Linked DNA regions of Mus musculus: all the other regions are reported to be linked to region 3. Evidence: microRNA targets listed by miRTarBase, many of them from high-throughput screens and not tested one by one. Region 3 holds a microRNA gene; each other region holds the end of a gene's coding sequence.

Region 1 (7,128 bases), not on the chromosome of region 3:
TTTTTTGTTGGCTGGAAAGAGACAGAAAACTTATTCAAGTTTAATATTCAAAATCTCAAATATGCTTCTTGTCATCTGATGAAACTATATTGTCTTATATGTCCCAAATTTCTCTGGCTGCTACAGAGTTCTCAGATTGTTGATTTACATGGGTGGCTTCATGTTTATTAGTAGTATGACTGACTTTCTAACAAAAGCCTTAAAGGGAAAGATTTTACTAGCTAGATTTCTCTTTTGTTGGGCGGAATGAATAGATCTAAATTCAGTAAGAGTAACTTTCACAACGGATGAAACTTTACATACTCATCTAAAAGAGAAAAACAATGAACTGTTCCCAAGAGAATGTATGTAGGCTTTTATATGGAGGTCGTAGGTCGTGCTCACTGTCTTCTTCAGTAGTATTCCATCTTCTTCTTTGAGATTGGGTTTTTCTACTGAACTTGAATCTCATTGATATTGCTAGGCCAGCTGGCCAGAAAGATCCAAAATTCCATCATCACTATGACCATCCCTAGATATCATGTGAACACTCAGATTCTAACTGAGGTCCACATGCTTGAATGGCAAGCACTTTCCCAACAGAACCACCACCACCCAGCCCCATGTTTTATTTTTCAGGGTACACTGAGTAAAGAACAGCTGTCATTAAGATATCTTCATACAAAAACATCATGTACTTTGACTATATTCCCTCTCAGATACCTTCCTCTTCTTCCTGCTTCGGCTAATGCCATCTCTTCCTAGTTTCCACTCGATAAATGTGTTTTAAAAAATAAGTCCAATGAGAACATAGAACAACAAAATCAAGGCATAGCTTCATTTGGGACAACTAAACTCCTATTTGAATTCAAATGTATAAAGTACAAAACAGTGCAATGTTACAGTGGGCTACTGACCATGAGCCTAAAGCCCTCCCACACTAGATGCAGCCTTCAGAGACTTTTGTTATCCAGTAGGCACGGAAGGCTTTGTATTTTGCTTTTAAAAACCTATGTTTCTTGTTAACTTTAACAAATCTTAGAAATTGAATTTTTTTCCTTTGGCATTGTCTTGAACAATGAGATGCATCAGAATGGATCTGTGTTCCTATGCAGTGCATGCTTGAGGGGCACGTGCTGTATCCTTCAGTTGTAGTCATATTTCTAAGTCCAAGAGGCACTTGTCATCTTCCTGACACTGTTCCTTCTGTCTTGTCAAGTGACTGTTGCCAATCACCATGACTCCTGCATCTGTGCTTCTAATAGCAGAACTGGGGGTGGGGGTGGGGTTCAGAGTGGGTAGTATCCAGTTCTCAGCATAGAGTGGAAAATTCAGGGTAGTGTTGTTGTTGCTTTATGAATTTTGCTAGTAAAAAGCAAAAGGTGACATCATCTGCTGCAATATGTCCAGAGTGGTCATATAAAACCCTGAAACCAAAACAAAATAGGGTTCTAGTCTCTACCCTGAAGTATCTTCCAGTCAGTAACTATGAGTGTACTGCTCTTTTCAGCAACTCAAGGGAACATGGCTCTCATGCTTTCTCTACTTTTCCAGTTGGACTGTGTGGCTCCATACCTCCACAAGCAAAGCTTAACACGGCCTTTCCCTGCCTGAACAATCTAATTTCTATTTAAGAATCCAATTCAAATTCGAATTTCTTATTCCCACATCTGGGTACACTAAATACATGTCTCTAAGTACAATTCCTTTTTCAAAGCTTTCTTGGTCTCAATTCTATATACTCAGGGAAGAGTCAAGATAAATAAAACCTAAACAGCTAATTTGGCAGTACCATTTTATATTAAGTTTTGGGGCTGAATATTACTTGTGTAATTGACAAGTGCATTCTGAAAGGTGTTAGCTGTCATAAAGATGTGTCCCTGCTTCTCTCCCTGGACAGATCTTAACATTAAAGACAGAGCTTTGAGATATTCTGTAGAGACCTTATGTTTATTTCAGTGGTTTAGAAATCCATCCATTACTTTCTTTTAGGATTTGATGCGGCAGGGTCTCCTTGGTATTTTCTATCTTCCAGGTTAGCATTTCAAATCACTGTGGAGGATGGAAGGGCTAAAATGTTATGTATCTATGTATCTATCACATTTCTATTGATCTTGGGACAATTTATATTCTAGAATATATATCTTACATATAAGATATATATATCTCGTACAGTAGATCCCAAGAAAGAACTTTTCCTTTTGACTCTGGGGATACTATTCTGAAACTCAGCAGACATTTGACTAGGCTAGTGCTGTGGAAAGTTGCAGATGTCATTTATTCCTCTGTCCTCCTTAAGCTGTAGGGAGACCCTATGAAATAGTAGATAAGTAGAGATTATTAGTCAAGAGTGAATAATGATAACCTATCTTTTCACTTGACCTAATATAGCAATAAATAAATCATACACAGATTCTACATGAAATCAGTCTTTCCTATAACACTGCCACAAACCTAGGAAGGCTGTAAAGTTTGTATGAAGTCTCTGGTAATATTTTATGAGTATATTCTGCTAACTACACTTAACTTGGGTATGTGACAGATTACTGACTATTTTGTTAAGAATGAATCACTGTCAAAGCTCATTGAAATTAAATACAAATGGGCAACTGTTAGGCCCTAAATATTTTTAGTTTAAGTATCAAGACCATGCCTGACTTCCAGTTGAATTTACAGGTACATTCTCCTGCATCTTATCATTCATGGTAGTTGAAGGTTCTGGGAACTGTCATTCTATTTTCTGGGAGTGAAACATATTTGATAAGGAACAGTTATTGGAGTCCAAATTTCAAAACTTGTGTCTGGAACCTGGAAGGGTCTCAACAGACAAATGTTTAATGAGCAACATTGGTGAGAAGCCAGTGTAGCCTGTCTATGTCCAGGCAAGGGTCTCCTTGTTTCCCTCTCAATACCGGAGATCAATTGGGTACACTGCCTTTATCTGAAGTCCTTTTGTTACAAGAAAAGGGTTGCATAGGTAGCTCCGGCTAGAACACTAACGCATTTTCAAAGTACTTGGTTAAAATGTGTACATTCCCAGTTGCTTATGTGCTTCTAACAGTATTGAGGGGCATAACTGTGTCTGTGTATCACCAGTTTCCAACCTCTTTCTAGAAAGGACATTCAGGAGAAAGGTTGTCAGATTCAACCTTATGACTTGATATTTCAAGAGAAACTGCTAGAGGGATACAGAAAGGATTACCTAGGAGATGCATGTTGCATGACAACATGGCTGATTAGAGGAACTTAACAGAAAAAAGGTTTATTTTGCTTCCTAAGGTTTTACTAAGGTGTGGTGGGGCTGAATATCATGGTAGGACATGTACCATGGAGCAAAGTTGCTTACCTCATGGCTGCTATAGAGTACAAGCAAAGTGACAGTCGGGGGACAGGGACAAGATATGCCCTTCCTGGGGCATGCTCTTAGTCATGCATGTCTTCCACTGAAAAACTATTAGTCTCTCTGTGTCTGTCAACATAATATATCTTCCTCAATTTCTCCCCACCTTAGTTTTGGACACAGCTTTTCAGAGAACCTAGAGCTTACCAATTCAGATAGTAACACTGACCAGTGAGCTTCAGGGATCCAACCAGGTCTTCATGCTTGCATGGCAGGTATTTTAATGGCTGTGTCATCTTCTTAGATCCCCAACTCTTAATTTCTACCATCTCTCAATGATGTTACCAGATTATGAATCTATTACTAGGTTAATGGATTAAGACATTCATGGTGACTCATTTCCTCATAGCCCATCAGTATGACACCAAGTCTATCACACACACACACACACACACACACACACACACACACACACACACACACACACACACACACACTTTGGAGACATTTCCAATTCAAAGTATTCCAGGGCTTATATTCCAGAACTCTACAAGGTACCTCTCCAGAAGGACATTCTTGGGAAGGACATGACCACACATGGGTCTACCAAGGGAGGTTTTCAAAACTATACAGTCTGAGTTAAGCCTCTCACGTTGTCTTCTGACAAACTGGCTACTGTAATACCCAAACAAAGCAAACATGGTATGTTTTATTTATTGATGTAGGATAAAAGTACTTCATTTGTTATTTTATTGAATGTTAGAGCCTATAAGGTTTACTGTATAGCTGTGAATAGCTGTATTTGCTGTTAGTTTGATGCAGCTCTATGAGGAGAAACAAATTCTTGAGGCGCAAATCAGAATCACATGCAGTGGTAATACAGCTATCATTGCCAGGTAAACAACCCCTTCATGAGTTTGTGAATTTTTAAATTTTTAGTCAGGTGTCTCTGCTACATTTGATCTATATACCAAAACTTGGATTAGGAGGCAGAGCACAGGCAGTGGTGTTTGGACTATGTGGGGCTTTCATGACCTTGTCAAGGTGTTTCTTCTTAGCAACCCTGACTTAGAATATTCTCTCTTTCACATGTTCCTGCTTGCCTTTCCACTTTCCATCCAAAAGAAGAAATAGCATTGCTCTAGGAGAGAACTCTCTCTGTTTCCCAGCTATCTGGAGATGAACTGCTGTACCATCCTGACCTGCTCATCAGCGTCTTTGCCACAGTCCTAGAGCAAGGAGGCCAAGGGACTGGGGACTGAAACCTTCATGATGAGAGCTAAAATAAATTCTTGCTCTGTTAAAGTGTTTTTTTCTTAGATATTTGGCAGAATGCAGCTAAGACAAATTATGACAAGAGGGAGAATAAAATAAAATAATGATAATGATTAATAATAATAATAATAATAATAATAATAGACACTAAACCCTTAGCTATTTCTTCCTTCACTGACCTGAACTATGTAATACAGTTTAGGGAACAAAAAATATACCATATTATAGCCTGGATGTCAATCATGCTTTCAGTAGGATTTTTGTGACATTCTCATATTGAGTCATAGAGAGATTATTTATTTGGGAATAAAGGCATGAAAATTTAGAAGAGAAAATGATGTTCAATCAGTAAATGTTACAATTATAAAAACTTTATTTCACTCTTACTCTCATTAAATCTTTATAAGCACCATGTCATAGACAGGCAATGTAGGAAGAGGACACCATAATGCTTCAGTTAATCACAAACTGCAAGCTGATGAGGATGTGACACTACAGCTATGTGGGGCACATGAATGAGACCACACATCTATTTGCACTGTCTATTGTAGAAACCCAAAGCTTGTGCTTGGAAACATCAAAAAGAACACTGCGCCGCTACGGTGGCAGTTTATACTCTGCTAAAACTTGATCCTGCAAGCAGCAATGTTGTCATCTGGTGATCCTGAACAGTGTCAGGCCATAGGCAGAGACTAACTCTTTAATGTTTAAACAATGCTTAAAGGTAATATTCCACATTGGGCAAGCTACCTGCAATGTCCTCTGCTGTGCAGATTTCTCATAGGCAACCATCAAGCCATCATTTACCTAATGAAACTGGGGGAGAACTACATTTTCAGTGAAATGTTTTAATTTGGTCCTCTATTCAAAGACAATTGCCAAGATGTTTTACATAAATTTAATTCACAGGCATGTACACAAGGGAACCACTACAGAAAACATTGCTTCCTGGTTTATGAATAAAAAGTTTATCCTTTACTTACACTAAACATACAAAAAATAATCTACAAAAAATTGTTTACCATTGATTTTTAGCTAACTCTCCTAAAACAACAACAACAACAAAAATGATTGTGTGGCGGTAGTATTTTATCCATCAAAAAAGTAATGTAAGTAACCAATAAATATAATGTGCTTCTTCCATATAGACATATGTACACTTCAGTCTTTGGCTTATGTTATTTTCTAAAAGGAACTTTAAATGATCCAGCCATCATTGCACATTAAAAGAAAATAAGCCATATATATGTATGTATGTATGTATATATACACACATATGTATATATGTATGTATGTATATATATATATATATATATATATATATATATATATATATATACACACACACACATTTATATAGAATCTGGTACACTTGGAACATATAAAATGAAATTTACCATGACTTTGCACAGCTTGTTTCCTTCCCCATTCTTAAGGTCCCACAGTTTTTATTTTAAAAAGAGAGGGAAATGCCACTTACAAAGTGCATGCAATGTGTGGTAGCTGCTCTACAGAAAGCAGGAGAGAAAAGGCTGTGTGGTCACTGGACAGACACAGACCACTTCTCATCCAAATCTGCCTCTGATTAAAGATAAAATTAGGTGGCATGAAATGTGGATGCTCTCATACAGTCACAGAAACTGATCAAGTCCTTTTTATTAAGATACACAACTTTATAAGAAAAATACATTTGCCTCTCCAATGTAAAAGCCTCCCACCCCGTACATTAAAATCTCTCGGTGCAGTAACAGGTACAACAGCTGCTGGCTCAACAGACGAATGGATTTCTGCTTGGATGCTCTGCAAATAGTCTCAGCGAACTATGAGGACTCCAGGTACTCTAACGCCACATCATAGCAAAAACGATACTGCTCCTGCATCATGTCAGAACAGAAGGGATGAAAGGAGTTAGCAAAAGGCTAATGGTGAGTAATAGCATCTGTGTGAGTTCTTGACACCCAATTTAGATTATTTAAAAGTCGTAAATTACTTATTTTGCATATAACAGGAACATCTGGCCATATATATTTTATTCTCAAGTCTAATGATCCCTTTTAAGAAAAAAAAGAAACAGTAAAAAGATGTTTTATCTTTGCCCTAAATTTCCTATCATTTAATATAGTGCCAAGGATTTTTATAGGATTAAAATAGTTAAGAATGTTTCCCAGCTTACAAAAAGGTAAAGAACCAGGCTGTGGTGGACCACACTTTAATCCCAGCAACCAGACAAGGTGTGTCTCTGAGTTCAAGGCCAGCATGGTCTACAGAGTGAGTTCTAGAACAGCCAGAGCTACACAGAGAAACCCTGTCTTGGCATGGGGGAGGGGAAGAGTACACGATTGACATAGTAATCGTCTCAGAAAAATAAAAAATCGGAGTTCTCAAGAGGATTTTCTGTTTTACATGTTGTATGTTACACATCCTGAGTCTTTTTATATCACGCAAAAATCTACCATGTGGATTATCTGGATTACTTGTTAGATTATTTCAATATCTTTCTGTTTTGTATTGCTGCTGGTGTGTGCCTGTGCTTT
Region 2 (7,128 bases), not on the chromosome of region 3:
ATGTAAGTACACTGTAGCTGTCTTCAGACAATCCAGAAGAGGGAGTCAGATCTTGTTAAGGATGGTTGTGAGCCACCATGTGGTTGCTGGGATTTGAACTCAGGACCTCTGGAAGAGCTGTTAGTGTTCTTAACAGCTGAGACATCTCTCCAGCCCAGCATTTTTTTTTTTTTGGTTGTTTGGAAACAGGGTTTCTCTGTATAGCTCTGGCTGTCCTGGAATTCACTTTGTAGACCAGGCTGGCTCGAACTCAGAAACCCGCCTGCCACTGCCTCCCGAGTGCTGGTATTAAAGGCATGTGCCACCACGCCTGGCCAGCAATAAGGTTTTTAAAGTGCCCATTTTTCATTTTATTTTATTTATTTGACAAGTGCTACTAATTTGGAGTTAACTGACTTTTTTTTTTAAAAATAACTCCGCAAGATAAAATTCTGGTTTATTGTTGGACATAATTTCACACATACATCAAACAGGCCAAAAAAACCAAAAAAAACCAAAAACCAAAAAACAGCCGGGCAGTGGTGGTGCATGCTTTTAATCTGAGCACTTGAGAGATAGAGGCAGGTGGATCTCTGAGTTCAAGGCCAGCCTGGTCTACAGAGTGAGTTCCAGGACAGCCAGGGCTACAGAGCAACCCTGTCTTGAAAAACCAAAATAAAATAAAATAAACAGCAACTTCATAGACAAAAAAAAAAAAAAAAAAGGAAAAAACCTTTTTATCTTTGGCCTTTTAAAACCATCTTATACAAACCAACTACTTATAGTACAGCTAGGTACACACACAGAAAGTTACTGGAGGGCTGGAGAGATGGCTCAGTGGTTAAGAGCACGGACTGCTCTTGAGTTCAAAACCCAGCAACCACATGGTGGCTCACAACCATCCGTAATGAGATCTGACGCCCTCTTCTGGTGCATCTGAAGACAGCTACAGTGTACTTATAATAATAAATAAATCTTAAAAAAAAAGAAAAGAAAAGAAAAGAAAGTTACTGGAGTGCTCCGAATAAGATTGCTTGTTGTTGTTTTAACTAGGTTTTTTTTCTCCTTTGAGATTATAATGAACATGGTCACACCACAAGTAAAGTCCGAAGTAGGACAGAAAACGCTCTGAAGGCTTGTTTGATCACCCGTTATCGTTAAAAATAGCTGACCCCTAACAATATGTACCCAAATATAAAATGTAAATAAAAAATACCAACACATTTTCCTTTTAAAGTATTTTTAAGAAAAAAAAAAGCAGGGTCTGGGAAGTTCTGATTCTTTTTATTTCCCACGTTGCCAGTTCATGTTGTGGTTTTGGTGGGGGCGTGGAGAGCGCATGTCACCTGTGGGTGCCACTGCCTGCTGTGCTTCTCTGCTCTAAGGTGACCACGTGAACTGGTCGCAGTGTGTAAGGTTAGCTTTTCCTTTTGCTGTCTAGTCATCCTCCTTAGTCTTCTGCTTCTTGGCGTCGACATCATTATCCTCATCAGACTCAGCTACCCGCTTGCCCGTCGGAGCCTCAGCTTCCTCATCTTCATCCCATCCTCTTCCTCCCCGTCACCTTCCTCCTCCTCTCCTCCTCCTCCTCCCCTTCCTCCTCTTCTTCATCTACCTCGTTGTCTGCCTCCTGCTCACCATTTTCCTCATTTAGAGCGTTCCTATTGGCAGGTACCATTCTCTGCCTCCTCTACAACGCCCTCCTCCTTCAAGTCCTTGGTGGTGGTCTCAGAGCTGGTGTCCACTGCCGCGTCTGACTTGATGGGGCATGCTGGTGGTCTGATGCTGCGAGTAAGAAATTAGTCGAGTTCGAGGACTCTGGCGAGAAAGCTGCCGGAGTCCGCATTAGAGGAGTCGGTGGGCAGCGAAAGTGGCTGCATGACCTGGGAACAGCGCAAAGATGGCTTTTCAGAGCAGCCGTAGGGCGAGTTAAGTGACTTTTTGGCCTCAATTTCTATGTGATCCCACCAGTTTCTTATAGGTGCTCTAACAAATGAAGCAACCTGAAACACTACACATTTATTACCTTAGAAGTTTTATGGGTGCGTCTTACTTTCACCAGGAACATTCACGTTGTTCCTTGATATTTCTTGGCTCTTGATCTCCTTCAAACCCGGAAATGGTGAAGACAGAGCTAAGGGGGTGCTTGTGCGACACGTGTAAGGCCCTAGATTGGTCATTTGTACAAAACTTAAACAGAATAGCACACACTCCAGTGGTTAGACTTCATACATCCACTTAGAAAGACCCTTGTCATGACACTAGGCTCAACTGAATACTCCAGGGTAATTTTACCTCAAGGATAGACTACTGGCAACCCTAGCTTCACCTGCAATTTTAACTCCCTTTGCTATGGAGTCTAACATATATGCCTATATTGGAGTTGAGAGGACAAAATTAGCCAGAGCCAGGCTGACTCCATGACAGACTGCAAACTGGCAGTTTGGGAGACTCGGGCCCAAGTTTCTGTTTCCCAGAAATGAGAACCTGGATGCTGGAACCAGTGGTCAGCCAAACACAGCTGCATGTAGTTGATCTGAGAACACCTTGTTGTCATCTGGTCTGAAGTAAGAATAGGTAGCTAGAAAGCTGGGCACTCAGGAGGCAGAGGCAGGCGGATTTCTGAGTTGGAGGCCAGCCTGGTCTACAAAGTGAGTTCCAGGATAGCCAGGGCTATACAGAGAAACCGTCTCCAAAAACAAAACAAAACAAAACAAAACAAAACAAAACAAAACAAAACAAAACAAAACAAAAAGAACAGGTAGCTAGAGTGACTAATCAATCCCCCAGGGAGGTCTCCAGAGCCTGAGGAATTGTAGACTCAGTCAGAGCGCCCAGAGAGAGCTAACCCACCAAGGTAAAGGGGCACACACTCCTCCCTAGAGTTCTGTAGAGGCCAGTTCAGGCACACTGCTTTGGCTCCTGGCAGGTCGTACGTGTGCACTCACCAGAAGACACACACACACACACACACACACACACACACACACACACACACACACACACACACACACACCAGTTAATTTTAAAATGGCTTGGCTACCTCAAAGGCTGGGCACTCTTAAACCTTCCCCTGCTACCCCAGGCCCAATCTAAAGGTAGCTGGGCGTGGCGGCACACACCTTTAATCCTAGCATTTGGGAGGCAGGTGGATCTCCGAGTTCAAGGCCAGCCTGGTCTACAGAGTGAGTTCCAGGACAGCCAAGGCTACACAGAGAAACCCTGTCTGGAAAAAACAAAAAAACAAAAATCTAAAGGTTCCACCCTGTCTTCCTTTGCCTAGCCATTGGCCGCTGGCATCTTTATTGATCAATCAAAAAACAATTGGGGACAAGGACCTTCAGGATTTGGACACAAAGATTCCCAATTAAATCAAAACATTAGAACCAATCCCTAAGAGCATTCCCCTAACTGACAATAAAAGCCGGGCCTACAAGTCCACCAGGGATCTCCATGGGAGACCCCTGCATGTGGGAAATTCAGCTAACACTCTCTACTTTTGCATGCTATTTGAGGCTAGGGTATTATTTTTTCGGCAATTCTTGGACCCTAATAATTGTCTTTCTTCCTATCATAGATCTTTCTCTAGTTACTGCATTTACATGAGATTGGTCTATAATCTGTCAAGTTTTACTACTCACTCTATCAGGACTCCAAACTGACATAAGGAAAGTTGGTATTATTTTTGATTTTTCATAGCATTTGTATATCTAATCTCAAATACTGTAATTTTGAATTTATGTCCAGAATGACATCCAAAGACACTGTGCAAGGAAGGCTTAGATAATAAATCATTTTAAAGTACATCTACTCTCTAGCCTTTTTACAATTTTCATTCATGTGATTAAACCCAGGGCTTCAAGAATTCTGTGCTAGCTGGGCATGGTGGTGAACGCCTTTAATCCCAGCACTTGGGAGGCAGAGGCAGGCGGATTTCTGAGTTCGAGACCAGCCTGGTCTACAAAGTGAGTTCCAGGACAGTCAGGGCTACACAGAGAAACCCTGTCTTGGAAACAAAACAAAACAAAACAAGTAAGAGTCCATCAGCACTGACCAGTGACTCCGTCTACACATGAGGAGCGCGAGTATTTTTATTTCTTTAACTTAACCATGCAAAACGTGTTGACTGACTCATATTCGCATGTAACTCTTTTCTCACATCCGTCACTGAGGGTGAATCCAGAGGAAGGACTGTGATCATCACATGAAGCTGACCTACAAGAAGAGGGAAAAACAACAACCAACCAAGGGACTGATCAGATAATCTTAAAACTGACATCTCTGAATAATTCATCTTAAAGCATCAGAAAAAAAATCTAGAAAATATATCTATTAAATAATATCAGAGCCGGGCTTGGTGGCGCACACCTTTAATCCCAGCACTCGGGAGGCAGAGGCAGGCGGATTTCTGAGTTCGAGACCAGCCTGGTCTACAAAGTGAGTTCCAGGACAGCCAGGGCTACACAGAGAAACCCTGTCTCAAAAAAAAAAAAAAAAAAAACCAAAAAACAAACCCTCAGTACTTAATTTTAGATCCATAGCATAAGTACTGAAATGGGCAAAGTGGTATAAAAAAGCAGCAGAAGACTTGGACAATAAATTCTAAAGTGTTAAATTTCAGAGTTCTTAGATAAAGAAAATGTGTGTTGTGATTACTATGTTTATTATCTAGCAGATACAAGGTATTTTTATCAGTGTAACCCATGGAAACTGACATATTTTGTGTGTGGTGCATGTGCATGTCTGCATGTGTGCACAGCAACAGGAAGGCCCCAGGCGGATGCTGGGGGTGTCTATCAATGGCTTTTCCCCTTATTCATTGAGGCAGGGTTTCTTGATTGGCCCCAGAGCTCCCCAGTGGCTAATATGATTAGCCATCTTATCCTGGGAATCCTCTGTCCACTTCCAGAGTTTTGGAATTCCACGTGGATGCTATGCCTCCTGAGCATCTGAGCTCTGGTCCTCAGGCTTATGTGGCGTTGCTTTAACCACTGAGCTAACTCCTCAGTCTAGAAGATACGATTAATTGTAACGAGGGATTTCACTTTATCAAGAACTCCTTTCAAATAATTTTCAGAAATAAAGCATATACTTTAAGTGATATATATATGCTTTGTGTGACACACGCGTGCACAAACATACTCACAAATCTTCTCTCTTAAATCATTCATATTAGGTTTTACCTGAGCTCCTCAGTGGATGCTAGCTGTAGTGACAATCATAACATGGCCACGCAGAAAAAAAAATCCTGAATCCGCTGCCTCTATACAGTCATTTGTCCTACAAATACTAAACTCCTAAGATGGCTGGGCATTCAGGACAGTTTGAGAACGTGAACATTAATACAGAAGAAAGTCACGTTCAAGTATAAGAACAGCAAACAGACATTAGGAAGCACACGCAAATGATGCCAGCTTGTCCCAAGTGCTATGAAACAAAGCGTAAAGTACCAGTGAAGAAGATGTGACTCAATGTGGTGTGGTTACTGTTGATTTCCCTGCTGTCTTTGTTTGGGACTGGGTCTTGATGTGCAGACCAGGCTAGCCTCAGATTCAGCATCTCCTTGCCACAGTTTCTGCAGTACTCGCATTACAGGTTTGCATGGCCTCATCCAGTACTGGTGTCACCCTGCAGGCACACTCCTTAAATCTCAGCACTTCGGAGGCAGAGGCAGGTGGATCCTAGTCTATATAATGCGTTCAAGGCTATGCAGTGAGACTCAGTCTCTCTTTTGATGCAGGGTCTCTTTACTTAGCCCTGGATGTCCTAGAACTCACTACTTAAACCAGGATGGCCTCAGAGAGACCTGCCTCCCTCTAGCCCTCTAGTGCTAGAACTAAAAAAGGCATGTGTCCTTGGAGTGGGACCCTGCCTCATTCACAAACACACAGATAAACTTCCATAATCTATGTCCTCTATAACTGTACTTACTGTATTATTTCCAAAGTTTATTCCAATCCATTTCTTCTTTTATACTCCAAAACATCTTCATTGTGTGTTTGGATGAGCTACAAGATAATGGTTAAAATTAGAAATGTGAGCTTCCAGCAGCTTAAAGACCAAGAAACCAAGTAGAGATCCTTATGTTTCATGAGAGAAATTGGGTGGATTAAAACAACTAAAAAGGTAAGAAATTCAAATTCAAAAATTATTAGTGGAATAATTTGTTGGCCACAGCCTGACATTAAATTTGAGAATGATACAGTGGAAAGCATATGGAATTATAAGAAGTGACACTCTAGCTGTTGAGTGTGTTGTAGGCTGGCTGATAAGTATATGCTATACTTTTGTGTACCTCTGTGTGTGTGTGTGTGTGTGTGTGTGTGTGTGTATGCAATGTCTAAATACAGTATGCTGTCCTTCCAACCTTAGAAGCCTCACACTGTGATTAAATGACCAACCCTCACCTCTGTGTATGTTAATTAGAAGTCAGAGAGCAGCTACTTTCTTAGAACCACAGTCTGACAGACTGTGTAACTAGAACAATGACTAATGCAATGATAAGATTCTTGGGAATCAAAGACCTAATTTCAATCCTTAATGATCTCCGCAGCAATTAAGCCTTCCATCAGGAAAAACTTTCAAAAATGTAGATGAACTTGGAGCCGCAGAGATGGCTTGGCAGTTAAGAGCATGTACTGCTTGCAAAGGACCCAAGTTTGGTCCCCAGGACCAACAACAAGCAGCTCAGAAATGTCTGTAACTTCAGCTCCAGGGGACTCGGTGAGTACGGTACTCACATAAATCCACATGAAAACCGAGGCGCCCACGGACAGTCCAACTGCCAACCAGTTAGGTTTGGCATTGACTGGCTCCCGGACATAGAACTTCGACCGTGTTGAAGCTGAAAAAGGAAAGAGAATATGTGTTTTATTGATGTCTGCGAGGAATATCTAACATATACTAGTGATGTAATTTTTGAGATAGAGGTTCTTGTAGTGCGGGCTGGCCCTGAATTCCTGATTGCCTGTCTCCACTTCCACCGGGCTGGGATTCCAGGCGCGCTCCACTACGGCTTTGTTGTCATTTGTCCTCTATCTGTTCGTCCCCAATTTAAAGAGTCAAGGAAACATAGTTCAAAGAACCTAAGTAATTTGTTCGGGGACACCAGCAGAGACAGAAGGTCGTCCTTGGTACTCAGGGCGCCTT
Region 3 (7,104 bases):
ATAGATCGATGAGTGGCAGTTTTGGGTTTGTGTGCATGCTTGTATGGGTATGTGCGTATGTATATGTATACTCATATACACACATGCACATGCACACATACATATACACACAGGCACATACACTGGGGGCATCACATGAATCAGAAGCTGATCCCGGACTCAACATGAAGTTGAGAATGAATTTCGACTCCTGATCCTCCTGACTCTGGCAAGATTTCCACCTTGTGAGTGAGAGCACTCACTGGCCCAGTACTACATAATCTCTAAAACTCTAAGTCACATATCATTCAAATGAATAAATGAGTGTCGTGTGTGTGTGTGTGTGTGTGTGTTGCGTGCGTGTGTATGTGTGTGTGTATGTATACATATATTCATATACACACATGCACATGCACACACACGTAAACACACATGCACATACATGAGGGGCATAACATGAATGTCTGGATGATCACTAACTGAAATTGAGCATGAATATGAACTCCTGATCCTCCTGACTCTGTCAACAACTTTCACCTGGTGAGTGAGACCGTTCATTGACACACTACTGCATAATCTATAAGACTCTAAGTCACATATCATTCAAATGGATCAATGAGTGCCATTCCTGTGTTTATGTTTATGTTTTTGTGTTTCCGTGCATGCGTGTGTATATGGGTGTGTATGTATATGTATATTCATATAGACACATATACATGCACACACAAGTATACACACATGCACATATATAGGGGGCATCACATGAATCCAGGATGATCTCTTACTCCTCATGAAGTTAAGCATGATTTTCAACTCCTATACCTCCTGACTCTAACAAGGGTTTTCACCAGGTGTGTGAGAATTGACACTGGCCCTGTCATACATAATCTCCAAAGGTCTAAGTCACATATCATTAAAATGCATCGATGAGTACCATTCCTACATGTATGTTTGCATGTGTGTGTATATGTGTGTATGTATATGTATATTCACATAAACACATGTACATGCATACACTTCTGCACACATGCACATAAACGGGGGACATCACATGAATCCCAGACTGATTGCTACCTCATCATGAATTTAATATGAATTTGAACTCCTCATCCTCCTGACTCTGGCAAGAGTACTTAACCTCCTAACTGAGACATAGCTCTTGATCAGTACTGCATAAGCTCTAAAGTTCTAAGTCACATACCATTCAAAAGGATATATGAGTGCCATTCCTGTGTGTGCTTGCGTGTATGTGCATATTCATATAGAGAAGTGAATATGCACACAGCTATACACACATGCACATTCTTGTTGGGCATCACATGAATCGCATGATGAACTCTAACTCATCATGAAGTTAAACATGAATTTGAACTCCAGATCCTCCAGACTCTGGCAAGCGTTTCACCTCCTAACTGAGACATAGCTCTGGATCACTACCGCATAAGCGCTAAAGCTCTATGGCACATATCATTTCAAAGGATATATGAGTGGCATTACTGTGTGTGCATGTGTGTATATGCATATTCATATAGAGAAGTGAATATGCACACAACTCTAACACATGCACATTCTTGGTGTGCATCACATCAATTGCATACTGATCTCTAAATCGTTGTGAAATTAAGCATGAATTTGAACTCCTGATCCTCCTGACTCTGGCAAGTGTTTCACCTAGTGAGTGAGACTTCTCCTTGACCCATTTATACATAGCTCTAAAACATTAAGTTACATATCATTCAAATGGATAGATGAGTATCAATTTTGAGTTTGTGTGTGTGTGTGTGTATTTGTGTGTGTCTCTGTGTGTGTGCATGTTGTGTTGGTTAGTTTATATGTGTATATTTATATGCATATATTAACATGCACACATACATATATGCACACATGCACATACATAAGAAACATCCCAGTCTGATTTCTATCTCTTCATGAAGTAAATTTTGTATTTGAACTCTCTCTTCACCTGACTCTGGCAAGTGTTTTTACCTTATGAGTGAGACTATTACTGACCCAGTACTACATAATATTTAAAGCTCTAAATTATATATCATACAAATGGATCAATGAGTGCCATTCATGTGTGTGTGTGTCCATGCATGCATGTATGTTTGTGTGTATGTATATGTATATTCATATACACATATACACATGAACACACTTATGTATACACATATGCACATTCAAGGGGAGACATCACATGAATCCAGGCTGATCCCAAATTCTTCATGAAGTTAAACATGAATTTGAACTCCAGATACTGATGACTCTGGCAAGGGTTTTTACCTGGTGAATCAAAACTTTCAGTGGCCAAGTACTACATAATCTCTAAAGCTCTAAGTCACAAATAATTCCAATGGATCGATGAGTGCCATTCATATGTGGGTGTCACATGTATGTGTATGTATGAGTTTATGTATATGTATATTAATATACACACATACATCACGGGATCATCACAAAAATCTCAGGCTCCTCTCTAACTCATCGTGAAGTTAAGGATAAAATTGAACTCTTTTATTATTAGGTATTTTCTTCATTTACATTTCCAGTGTTATCCCAAAAGTCCCCCATACCCTTCCCCCCCCAACTCCCCTACCCACCCACTCCCACTTCTTGGACCTGGCGTTCCCCTGTACTGAGGCATATAAAGTTTGCACGACCAATGGGCCTCTCTTTCCACTGATGGCCGACTAGGCCATCTTCTGATACATATGCAGCTAGAGATACAAGCTCCGGGGCGTACTGGTTAGTTCATATTGTTGTTCCACCTATAGGGTTGCAGATCCCCTCAGCTCCTTGGGTACTTTCTCTAGCTCCTCCAATGTGGGCTCTGTGATCCATCCAATAGCTGACTGTGAGCATCCACTTCTGCGTTTGCCAGGCCCTGGGCCTACTGACTCTGGTAAACATTATCACCTGCTGACTGAGACCCCTCTCAGGCCAAGTACTGCATAACCTCCAAAACTTGAGGTGACATATCATTCAAATGAATCACTGAGTGCCATTCATGTCTGTGTGTCTTTGTGTGCCTGTATATGATTGTATGTATGGATATGTATATTCATATACAAACAGGCAAATGCACACAAAACTATACACCCATGCACATACACGGGGTACATCCCAGGAATACCAGGCTGATCTCTAACTCATTATGAAGTTAAGCATGAATTTGAACTCCAGATCTTTCTGACTATACCAATCGTTTATATCTGGTGAGTAAAAAGTTTCATTGGCCCAGTACTACATAATTTCTAAAGCTCTAAATCACATATCAATAAAATAAATCGATGAATACCATTCCTGCGTGTGTGTTGATGTGTTCATATGAATGCGTGTATATATGGGTGTGTATGTATATGTATATTCATATACACACATATACATGCACACACAACTATACGCACATGCACAAACATGGGGGGCAAAACATGATTCACAGTTTGATCTCTAAATCCTCATGAATGTAAGCATGAATTTGAACTCCTGATTCTCCTGATTCTGGCAAGCATTTTCAACTAGAAAGTGAGAGCACTCACTGGCCCAGTACTACATAATCTCTATAGTTCTACGTCACATATCATTCAAATGGATAAATGAGTGCCATTCGTGTGTGTGTGTGTGTGTGTGTTACATGAGTGTGTATGTGTGTGTGTATGTATACATATATTCATATACACACATGCACATGCACACACACGTAAACACACATTCACATACATGGGTGGCATCACATGAATGCCAGGATGATCTCTAACTGAAGTTAATCATGAATTTGAACTCCTGATCCTCCTGACTCTGTCAACCATTTTCACCTGGTGAGTGAGACCGTTCATTGACACACTACTGCATAATCTATAAGACTCTAAGTCACATATCATTCAAATGGATCGATGAGTGCCATTCCTGTGTATATGTATTTGTGTGTGTGCATGCATGCGTGTGTATATGGGTGTGTATGTATATGTATATTCATATACACACATATACATGCACACACAAGTATACACACATATAGAGCAAGCAACACACAAATCCCGGGCTGATCTCTAACTCATCATGAAATTAAGCATAAATTTTTACTGCTGTTCTTCCTTACTCTGCAAGCATTTTCACCTGGTGAGAGAGAGAGAGCTCTTTTGGGCAAAGGAATACTCAATCTCTAACCTCTAGGTTGCATATCATTCACATGGATTGGTAAGTGGCAATTGTGGGTGTGTTTGTGTGTGTGTGCATGTTTGTGTGGGTATGTATGTATATGTATATTCATATATACATACATTTTCATGCACACATAAATATACACACATGCACATACATAGGGGTCATCACATTAACACAAGGCTGATCTCTAACTCATCATGAAGTTATTATGAATTTGAACTCCTGATTCTCCTGACTGTGAGAAATGTTTTTGCCTGGTGAGTGAGATGTCTCACTGGCCCAGTAAATTTACATATTATACAAATGGATCGATGAAAGCCATTTCTGTGTCTGTATCTGCGCATGCGTGTATATGTTTGTGTGTATGTATATGTACATTAATAGACACACATGCACATGCACACAAAACTATATACACATGCACATACATTCATGGGGGACATCCCATGAATTCTAGGCTGATGTCTAACTCATCATGAAATTAAGCATGAATTTCATCTCCTAATCCTCCTGAGTATGGCAAACATTGTTACCTGGTGAGTGAGATCTCTCCCTGGCACTGTCCTGCCTAAACTCTCAAGCTCTAAGACACATATCATTCAAATGGATGTGTGTGTGTGTGCATGAGTGTGTAAGTGTGTGTATATTCATATTCATATACACAAATGAACATGCACACACAAGACACACACCTGCCCATATATAGGGTACAGCCCATGAATCCCAGGCTGATCTTTAACTCATTATGAAGTTAAGCATGATTTTGAACTCTGGATACTGATGCTCTGGCAAGCCTTCCCTGGTGAATGAAAAGTTTCAGTGGCCCAATACTACATAATCTCTAAAGCTCTAAGTCACATATCATTCAAATGGATCAACGAGTGCCATTCCTCTGTGTGTGTTTGTGCTTGCGTTTATACGTGTGTGTGTATGTATATGTATATTCATATACACACATGCACATGCACACACAACTATACACACAGGCACATACATGGGGGGCATCACATGAATCACAGACTAATCTCTAAATTCTCAGGAAGTTGAGCATGAATTTGAATTCCTGATTCTCCTGATTCTGGCAAGCATTTTCACCTTCTGAGTGAGACCATTCACTGGCCCAGTACTGTATAATCTCTAAAACTATAAGTCACATATCATTAAAAGTGATCAGTGAGTGTCATTCATATGTGTGTGTTGCATGTGTGTGTATGTGTGTGTGTATGTGTATGTATATTCATATACACACATGCACATGCACACACACGTAAACACACATGCACATACATATGAATACCAGGATGATCTCTAACTGAAGGTAAGCATGAATTTGAACTTCTGATCCTCCTGACTCTGTCAATCGTTTACACCTGGTGAGTGAGAACATTCACTGTCCCCTATTGCATAATCTCTAAAACTCTAAGTCACATACCATTCAAATGGATTGATAAGTGCCATTCCTGTATGTGTGTGTTTGTGTGTGTGTACGTGCGTGTGTATGTGTGTATGTATATGTATATTCATATACACACATGCACATGCACACACAAGAACACACACAGGCACATACATAGGGGCCATCACATAAATCCCAGGATGATTTCTAAATCTTCATGAAGTTAATTATGAATTTGAACTCTTTATTCTCCTGACTCTGGCAAGCGTTTTTACTTAGTGAGTGAGATGTCTCACTGGCCCAGTATTACATAGTATTGAAAGATCTAATTTACATATCATACAAATGGATTGATAAGTGCCATTCATGTGTGTTTTTCCACGCGTGCATGTCTATGTTAGTGTGTATGTATATTTATATTTATATTATACACACATGCACATGAACACACACGTATATACATAAGCTGCATCACATGATACAGGCTGATCCCTAACTCTTGATGAAGTTAAGCATGAATTTCAACTCCTGATCCTCCTGACTCTGGCAAGGATTTTAGCCTGGTATTTGAAGCCTCACCCTCACTCAATACTACATAATCTCCAAAGCTCTACGTCACATATCATTCAAATGGATTGACAAGTGACATTCCTGCATGTATGTGTGTGCGTCTGTATGTGTATGTGTACATATATTGATATGCACACATGTACATGCACACACAAGTATAAACACATGCACATACATGGGGGGCATGACATGAATCCCAGGCTGATCTCTAACTCATCATGAATTTAACCATGAATTTGAACTCTGAAACATACTGACTGTGGCAAAAGTATTCAGCTAACGAGTGAAACAACACACTGGCCCAGTACTGCATAAGCTCTAAAGCTCTGAGTCACATATTATTCAAAAGGATATATGATGCCATTACTCTAAGTGGTGTGTGTGGGTGGGTGGGTGTGGGTGTGTACATGTGTGTACATGTGTGTATATGCATATTCATATAGAGAAATGAATATGCACACAACTATACACACATGCACATTTTTGGTGGGCATCACATGAATCGCATGCTGATCTCTAACTCATCATGAAGTTAAACATGAATTTGAACTCCAGGACCTCCTGACTCTGGCAAGGGATTTCACCTCCTAACTGAGACATAGCTCTGACCTGGTACTGCATAAGCTCTAAAGCTCTGAGTCACATATCATTCAAAAGGATATATGAGTGCCATTCGTGTGTGCATGCGTGCATATGCATATTCACATAGAGAAGTGAATATGCACACAACTATGCACACATGCACTTTCTTGGTGGGCATCACATGAATCTCATGCTGATCTCTAACTCTTCATGAAGTTAAGCATGAATTTGAACTCTGTAGCCTCCTGACACTGGCAAGAATATTCACCTCCTACCTGAGACATAGCTCTGGCCATTCCTGTGAGTGTGTGTGCATGCGTGTATATGCATATTCATATAGAAAAATGAATATGCACACAACTATACACACATGCATATCCTTGGTGGCCCAGTACTGCAGCATCTCTAAAACT
Region 4 (7,128 bases), not on the chromosome of region 3:
GTGTGGTTTAGTTATCAGAGTAATTGTGGCTTTGTAGAATGAATTTGGTAGAGTATCTTCTGTTTCTATTATATGGAATAGTTTGGGGAGAATTGGAATTAGGCCTTCTTTGAAGGTCTGATAGAATTTTGCACGAAACCCATCTGGTCCTGGGCTTTTTTTTTTTTTTTTTTTTTGTTAGGAGACTATTAATGACTGCTTCTATTTCTTTAGGGGAAATGGGACTGTTTAGATCGTTAATCTGATCCTGATTTAACTTTGGTACCTGGTATTTGTCTAGGAAGTTGTCCATTTCATCCAGGTTTTCCAGTTTTGTTGAGAATAGCCTTTTGTAGTAGGGTCTGAGATGTTTTGGATTTCCTCATGTTCCGTTGTTATGTCTCCCCTGTGCTCTCTAGTTAGTCTGGATAAGGATTTATTTATCTTGTTGATTTTCTCAAAAATCCAGTTCCTTGTTTGGTTGATTCTTTGTATAGTTGTTTTGTTCCTACTTGCTTGATTTTAGCCCTGAGTTTGATTATTTCCTGCAGTCTACTCCTTTTGGATAAATTTGCTTTCTTTTGTTCTAGAGCTTTTAGGTGTGCTATTAAGCTGCTAGTGTATTCTCTCTCTCTCTCTCTCTCTCTCTCTCTCTCTCTCTCTCTCTCTCTCTCTCTCTTTTGCAGCACTCAGAGCTATGAGTTTTCCTCTTAGGACTGCTTCCAATGTGTCTCATAAGTTTGGGTATGTTGTGGGTTCATTTTCATTAACCTCTAAAAAGTCTTTAATTTCTTTCCTTATTTTTTCCTTGACCAAGTTATCATTGAGTAGAGTGTTGTTCAGTTTCCATGTGAATATTGGCTTTTTATCATTTATGTTGTTATTGAAGATCAGCCTTAGTCCATAGTGATCAGATAGGATGCATGGGATAATTTCAATCTTCTTGTATTTGTTGAGGCCTGTTTTGTCACCAATTATATAGTCAATTTTGGAGAAGGTACCATGAGGTGCTGAGAAGAATGTATATCCTTTTCTTTTAGGATAAAATGTTCTGTAGATATCTATTAAATCCATTTGTTTCATAACTTCTATTAGTTTCCAGAATCTGTCCATTGATGGGAGTGGGGTATTGAAGTCTCCAACTATTGTGTTAATTGCAATGTGTGCTTTGAGCTTTACAATAATTTCCTTAATGAATGTGAATGGTGTTGTCTTTGGAACATAGATATTCAGAATTGAGAGTTCATCTTGGAAGATTTTACCTTTGCTGATTATGAAGTGCCCCTCCTTGTCTTTTTTTGATAATTTTGGGTTGGAAGTAGATTTTATTCGGTATTAGAATGGCTACTGCAGCTTGTTTCTTTGGACCAATTGCTTGGAAAATTGTTTTAGCATCTTTTACTCTGAGGCAGTATCTGTCTTTGTCCCTGAGGTGGGTCTCCTGTATCCAGCAATAAGTTGGGTCCTGTTTATGTAGCCATTCTGTTAGCCTGTGTCTTTTTAATGGGGAATTGAGTCCATTGATAGTAAGAGATATTAAGAAATAGTAATTGTTACTTCCTGTTATTTTTGTTGTTAGAGTTGGAATTCTGTTCTTGCGGCTATCTTCCTTTAGGTTTGTTGAAGGATTACTTTCTTGCTTTTTCTAGGGCAGCGTTTTCCTTATTGTGTTGGAGTTTTCTTTTTATTATCCTTTTTAGTGCTGGATTCCTGGAAAGATATTGTGTGAATTTGGTTTTGTCATGGATTACTTTGCTTTCTTCGTCTATTGTAATTGAGTGTATTGGTGGGTATAGTAGCTAACATTTGTGTTCTCTTAGGGTCTGTATAACATCTGTCCAGGATCTTTTGGCTTTCATAATCTCTGATGAGAAGTCTGGTGTAATTCTAATAGGTCTTCCTTTATATGTTACTTGACCTTTTTTCCCTTTCTGCTTTTAATATTCTATCTTTATTTAGTGTTTTGTTGTTCTGATTATTATGTGTTGGGATGAATTTCTTTTCTGGTCCAATCTATTTGTAGTTCTGTAGACTTCTTGTATGTTCATGGGAATCTCTTTCTTTAGGTTAGGGAAGTTTTTTTCTATAATTTTGTTGAAGATATTTACTGGTCCTTTAGGTTGAAAGTCTTGATTCTCATCTATACCTATTATACTTAGTTTTGGTCTTCTTATTGTGTCTTGGATTTCCTGGATGTTTTGGGTTAGGATCTTTTTGGATTTTTGCATTTTCTTTGATTCTCTCTTCCATCTCTGGTATTCTGTTGCTGATGCTCACATTCATGGTTTCTGATTTCTTTCCTAGGATTTCTATCTCCAGAATTGTCTCCCTTTGGGTTTTCTTTATTTTTTTCTATTTCCATTTTTAGATCTTGGATGGTTTTATTCAATTCCATCACCTGATTGGTTATGTTTTTCTATAAGTCTTTAAGTCTATTGGTTTGTGTTTTCTCTTTAAGGCCTTCTACCTGTTTAGTTGTGTTCCCCTGTATTCCTTTGAGTTATTAATGCCCTTCTTAAAATCCTCTGCCAGCATCATGAGATATGATTTTAAATCTGAATCTTGCTTTTCAGGTATGTTGGGGTATCCAGGACTTGCTGTGTGGTGGGAGTACTACTTTTTTTTGATGCTGGGTAATCTTGGTTTCTGTTAGTAAGATTCTTATGTTTGCCTTTCCCCATCTGATAATCTCTGGTGTTATATGTTCTAGCTGTCTCTGGCTGGAGCTTGTTCCTCCTGTGATTCTGTTAGCCTCTGTCAGCACTCCTGGGAGTACAACTCTCTCCTGAGTCCCAGTGGCCAGAACACTTTCTGTGGTCAAACCCTCCTTTTGCAGGGAAGGTGCACAGAGGTCTGGTTTTCAGATCTGCCCCCTAGCTGAAGATGAAGGCCCGAAGGGACCCTGTCCAGAATCTCTGTTGCTTCTGCGGCCAGCATGCTCTTCTGCTTGGATTGGTCTCTGAGAAACCCGGTAAAGGAGATGGCGCTCTCACCTGAGTCCCCTAGTCAGAGACCTCCCTGGAGGCCAACTTTCCTCTGGTGCCCAGAGGTCTGGGTCTCAGCTCTGCCTCCTGGCTGAGGATGAAGGCATGAAGGGACCCTGTCTGTTGCTTCTGTGGCCTGTGCGCTCCCCTGCGTGGACTGGTCTCTTAAAGACTCAGTATACAAGATGGCTGTCTTACCTTAGTTCCGCAGTCAGAACCTTCTCTGGAGGCAGACTCTCTTCAGTGTTTCTAAGATCCTGGGCATGCTAGGGCACCTATGGCATGGAGAGTCCTCTGGGGACAGTGGGACCATCTATACAGTTTGTGGCCAAGGTGGCCCAGGGCTGGTCCCTACTGGAATGAACCCCAAGTGCTGGTTGGTTAGGTTTCCTGTATTTTTGTACCTGCTGGCACAAGTCCCTCCCGGTTGTTTTGGAACAGATGTTGCATTCCACTCACCAGTGATCCCAAGATCCTGGGTATACTAGGGTGCCTATGGTGTGGACAGTCCTCTTGATATGGTGGGACCATCTGCCGAGTTCGCGCCCAAGGTGGCTCAGTGATGTCGTTATTTTTAATAGCTGCATATTAGTCCATTGTGTAAGTGAGCCACATTTTCTGTATCCATTCTTCAGTTGAGGGACATGTGGGTAAATAAGTCAAGATTTTAGAATTTTCAATTATTTTTGTTTTCATGTTTTAAACTACCTATTAACAGCACATGTTACTTCTAGATTGCATCCAAACTATCTCCCTTGCTATATACCCTACATCGTTCTCTAGGGTATAGTATGGTATGTATTCTTGATGCTCCCATCTACTTGCCTTCCTCAAACTGCCATATATAGCCAGGGTCACGCATCTAGTGCCTGGGCCTATTCTGGCCTCTCTTGACTGGGCTCTAAATGATGCCTAGGCTTTTGCAGGACCTTATCTACCCATCACCTAGTCCATAGGCCCCTCTGAAACCACATGTGACCTTTTCACCTAGCCAGATCTACCCTCACACTCTAGGCTTGGACCAGGAGGCAAATCTTATATATCAACCCACTCTCCTCTGTCCACCTGACATCATTCTATTCAAGTTAGATCTAACTTCTAATTCCAAGTTGCCTGTACACGTTCTCTTCTGTGCCAGTCTAATAGGTCTATATCAGACCTAGAACTAACAAAAGAAGTTCAAATGCTAAGATCTCATCAATGAACTATCAATAATATCAGGTTTTGTTGCATTGAATTTTCATTTTCATTTAATTCCAGGATTTTTTTTTTAAATTTTCTCCTTGACCCACTCATCATTCATTAATGAGCTGCTTAATCTCCATGTTACATCGTTATCAAAAATTCTATAGTTTTTTTCTTTTTGTTGTGTCTTTATATGACTTTGGTAATAGGATAATACTGTTTTCATAGAGTGAGTTCTAGAGAGTTTATTTCCTTTCTGTTTTATGGAATACAGTGAGAACCATTTACTCTCTCTGTTCTTTTACTATCTGATAGAATACTGCAGAGAATCTATCTTTTCTGTGTGGATAAAATCTTTTTTTCCTATTGTTTCTTTGAGCAATTCTTAAGAATAGGTCAGCTGATGGCAAAAGTTGAATTCCACAGTGATATCTTAGCATACATGAGTTCTTTCAGTTAGGTTTAATACTGCCAAAGAAGCCTTATGTTTGTGAAATTGTTTATTTCATTTCAGAAAGATAGTCTATCTAGGCATATTTATAATAGACTTTTTCTTTTAGTGCATGCTACTTAATTGATTATAGATGTCATGGATTTAGAACAGATACACAGATATTTGTTTTTTTGTTTTGCTTTTTTTTTTGTCTTTGTGTGGGTAAGGCAACATCCCCTCATGTCTATTTTAAGTAATTGAATTTTTTCATGAAATTTGACTGTGTTTATCATATGTGCGGACACCACTGGATTTACCCTAACTAGAGTCGCAAAGAGTTTTGAATCTTTAAGGTTTTAACTTCTACTAAAGTTAAAAGATTTTCAGCTTTCCCGTCTTTGAGTGGTCAGGCAACACTATAAATATGTATATATATAATTTTTTCCCTTTTGAAGCACAGTAGTGTGAATGTCGAATATTTTCTTGTTTGACTATTCAGTCTGCTGCAATTTTTTTAGTATGTTATTGTAATTTTCAGATGGAATAATTTGTATTGATCTTTCAGATTCCAATGCTGTGCTCCATATCTTGCATTCTAGTTAAGCCCATTCAGTAGATCTTTTCTTTTTCTTTATTCTATTTATGGTATTTGAAGATAGACACTTTATAATATTTGCATTTTCGTTATTTTTCTGTGAAAATGGTTCATAGTCAATGGCTGGCTTTCATAAAAATACTTGAGATTTCAGTTTATTTTGTAGGATCAAAACCTTGATTATAATAACTTATATTAACTTATTATGATTCTAAGTGAAATTGAATCATCTTTTAAAAACTATTTTTGGTAACAAATTTGAACAGGTTTAATTTTTTATTGTTAAATGAACAAAAGAAATGATGAAAAATTAAGTTTGTTAGACACTGACATTTCTAAAGTGTCAGTGACGTAACCCAAACTCAGAAAGACAAACACTGTATCTTATCTCCCATCTATGGTACTTAGCTTCAAATTTCAGAAGTGAGTTTATTACCTGGAACAACTACATTAAACTGGAAAGATCAAAGAGGCTATGGTGGGATGGAGAGGAGTACTAGAGAGGGAATATCAGTATGTGGGTGAAATGAAGAAAGAAATGGGAAAAATGGTTCTCCAATATTATGTTGTCAACCCTAAAAAGAATACAATAAAGAAAGCAATATATAAAGCAACAATAAAGACGGGCTACATTTATATATTTATTCATTTATTTATACATACACATAGCAATAATACATTATGCATGTGGAATTATAATTAATAAAAATTCATTTTATAAAGAGTAAAATGAGTCAGGGGACAATGGGTAGCAAGCAGTGGGTAGAGGGAAGGAGAAGTGGTGTAATTATATTTAATTAAACATAAAAATTTGAAAAGAAGTGACCCTTTAGATTTAATCACACATAAATATTATAAAACTTAAAGAACTTTTTAAGGATTGGATCAGTATGGACTGCCCCAGAAATAGATAGGAAGGATGAGAGCTTTTCATTGATTAGGCACAATTTGGTCTCTCAGGATACTGATGAAATCAGAAACCTTCTGTGCATCATTGTTCAAGCAGAAAAACAAACTATGCAAACCAAAAAGTTGAACTCTCCTTTTTGATTGCTGTACATATGGCTCTCCTGACCAGGCAGGGTAGTCTTCATTTTTCTTAAGGTCAGGATTAACCTATTTACCAAATAAAAGTCAGCCAGTTATTATTCACATTATTAATATTTATTGAGCTTCATTATTTAAACAATTTGAATGATATTTTGAAGAATATTATGAATATAAATCTTAAAGAAATACACGTGTTTCATGTATGTAGACTAGGGTACTACCAATTTGTTAGTTATCTTAAAACTAGACAGAACTATGCATATATTTTTGTAATATAGTTGATCCAAGATGAAATATATCATTCTAGGAGGAGACAGAATTGCTTCTTGACTATGGACATGGTTTTGACCAAGGGATATGGAAGAATCTATAATCAGTTCTCTTGTGAGGAGGCTTCCATGTTTTCCATGTCATCCCTGAGGTGCCATTTGTAGTTTACTACTCTTTTTTTTTTTTTTTTTTTTGGTTTTTGGTTTTGTTTTTGTTTTTTGAGACAGGGTCTCTCTGTGTAGCCCTGGCTGTCCTGGAACTCACTTTGTAGACCAGGCTGGCCTCGAACTCAGAAATCCGCCTGCCCCTGCCTCTGCCTCCCAAGTGCTGGGATTAAAGGTCTGCACCACCACCACCCGGCTAATTGACAATTTTGCTTTCCTCTATTTCAACAATATTCGTTTTCCATAATTTATGGACACAAAGCTACAGAACTGATGAGGATTGCACCTGGTGGGTTAAAATTCTTCTAATGTATGGATGACTGTGGTGAAATCGTCGGGATACTTAGACTGCACAGGAAAGGCACTGTCCATGCTATTTCTAGCAATCATTAATGCATCAGGAGAGCTCTGTGTTGTGGGGTGCTGAGTGGAAACACTTTTGAGCTGCCACAGTCCTATTAGTCCCTA

The links. Region 3 holds the annotated microRNA mmu-miR-466f-3p (CAUACACACACACAUACACAC, at 3,618-3,638, opposite strand). A microRNA usually pairs through its seed, bases 2 to 8, with sites in the 3' UTR of a target mRNA and lowers its output. Matches are read on the target gene's strand: a 7mer-m8 pairs with bases 2 to 8, a 7mer-A1 pairs with bases 2 to 7 and ends in A, and an 8mer does both.
Region 1: the mRNA of Ptprk is a reported target of mmu-miR-466f-3p. Seed matches in the 3' UTR shown: 7mer-m8 at 6,258-6,264, 8mer at 5,930-5,937 and 8mer at 5,860-5,867.
Region 2: miRTarBase lists Ndufc1 as a target of mmu-miR-466f-3p. The part of its 3' UTR that is shown has no 7-base or 8-base seed match.
Region 4: the mRNA of Prl5a1 is a reported target of mmu-miR-466f-3p. Seed matches in the 3' UTR shown: 7mer-m8 at 5,836-5,842.

What each region holds. Positions count from the first base shown.
Region 1 is chr10:28,595,142-28,602,269 of GRCm38, reverse strand. It overlaps Ptprk (protein tyrosine phosphatase, receptor type, K), which reads right to left. Exons shown (of 32, transcript NM_008983.2): 32 at 4,873-6,468. The coding sequence ends at 6,415. Among named protein-coding and RNA genes, the nearest start is that of Themis, 70 kb to the left of the region's middle.
Region 2 is chr3:51,401,426-51,408,553 of GRCm38, forward strand. Ndufc1 (NADH:ubiquinone oxidoreductase subunit C1) reads right to left here. Exons shown (of 4, transcript NM_025523.1): 2 at 6,720-6,823; 3 at 5,911-5,987; 4 at 4,054-4,194. The coding sequence ends at 5,928. It also overlaps the pseudogene Gm9442. Among named protein-coding and RNA genes, the nearest start is that of Ndufc1, 4.0 kb to the right of the region's middle.
Region 3 is chr2:10,465,263-10,472,366 of GRCm38, reverse strand. Mir466f-2 (microRNA 466f-2) reads right to left here and starts at 3,692; the gene lies at 3,599-3,692. All of the region lies in intron 10 of Sfmbt2 (Scm-like with four mbt domains 2), which reads right to left. It overlaps Mir466m (microRNA 466m), which reads right to left and starts at 5,704; the gene lies at 5,621-5,704. Mir466f-1 (microRNA 466f-1) reads right to left here and starts at 5,423; the gene lies at 5,330-5,423. It also overlaps Mir669f, Mir669e, Mir669b, Mir669d, Mir669l and Mir669d-2, and 2 more genes.
Region 4 is chr13:28,150,281-28,157,408 of GRCm38, reverse strand. Prl5a1 (prolactin family 5, subfamily a, member 1) reads right to left here. Exons shown (of 5, transcript NM_023746.4): 5 at 5,814-6,292. The coding sequence ends at 6,107. Among named protein-coding and RNA genes, the nearest start is that of Prl5a1, 11 kb to the right of the region's middle.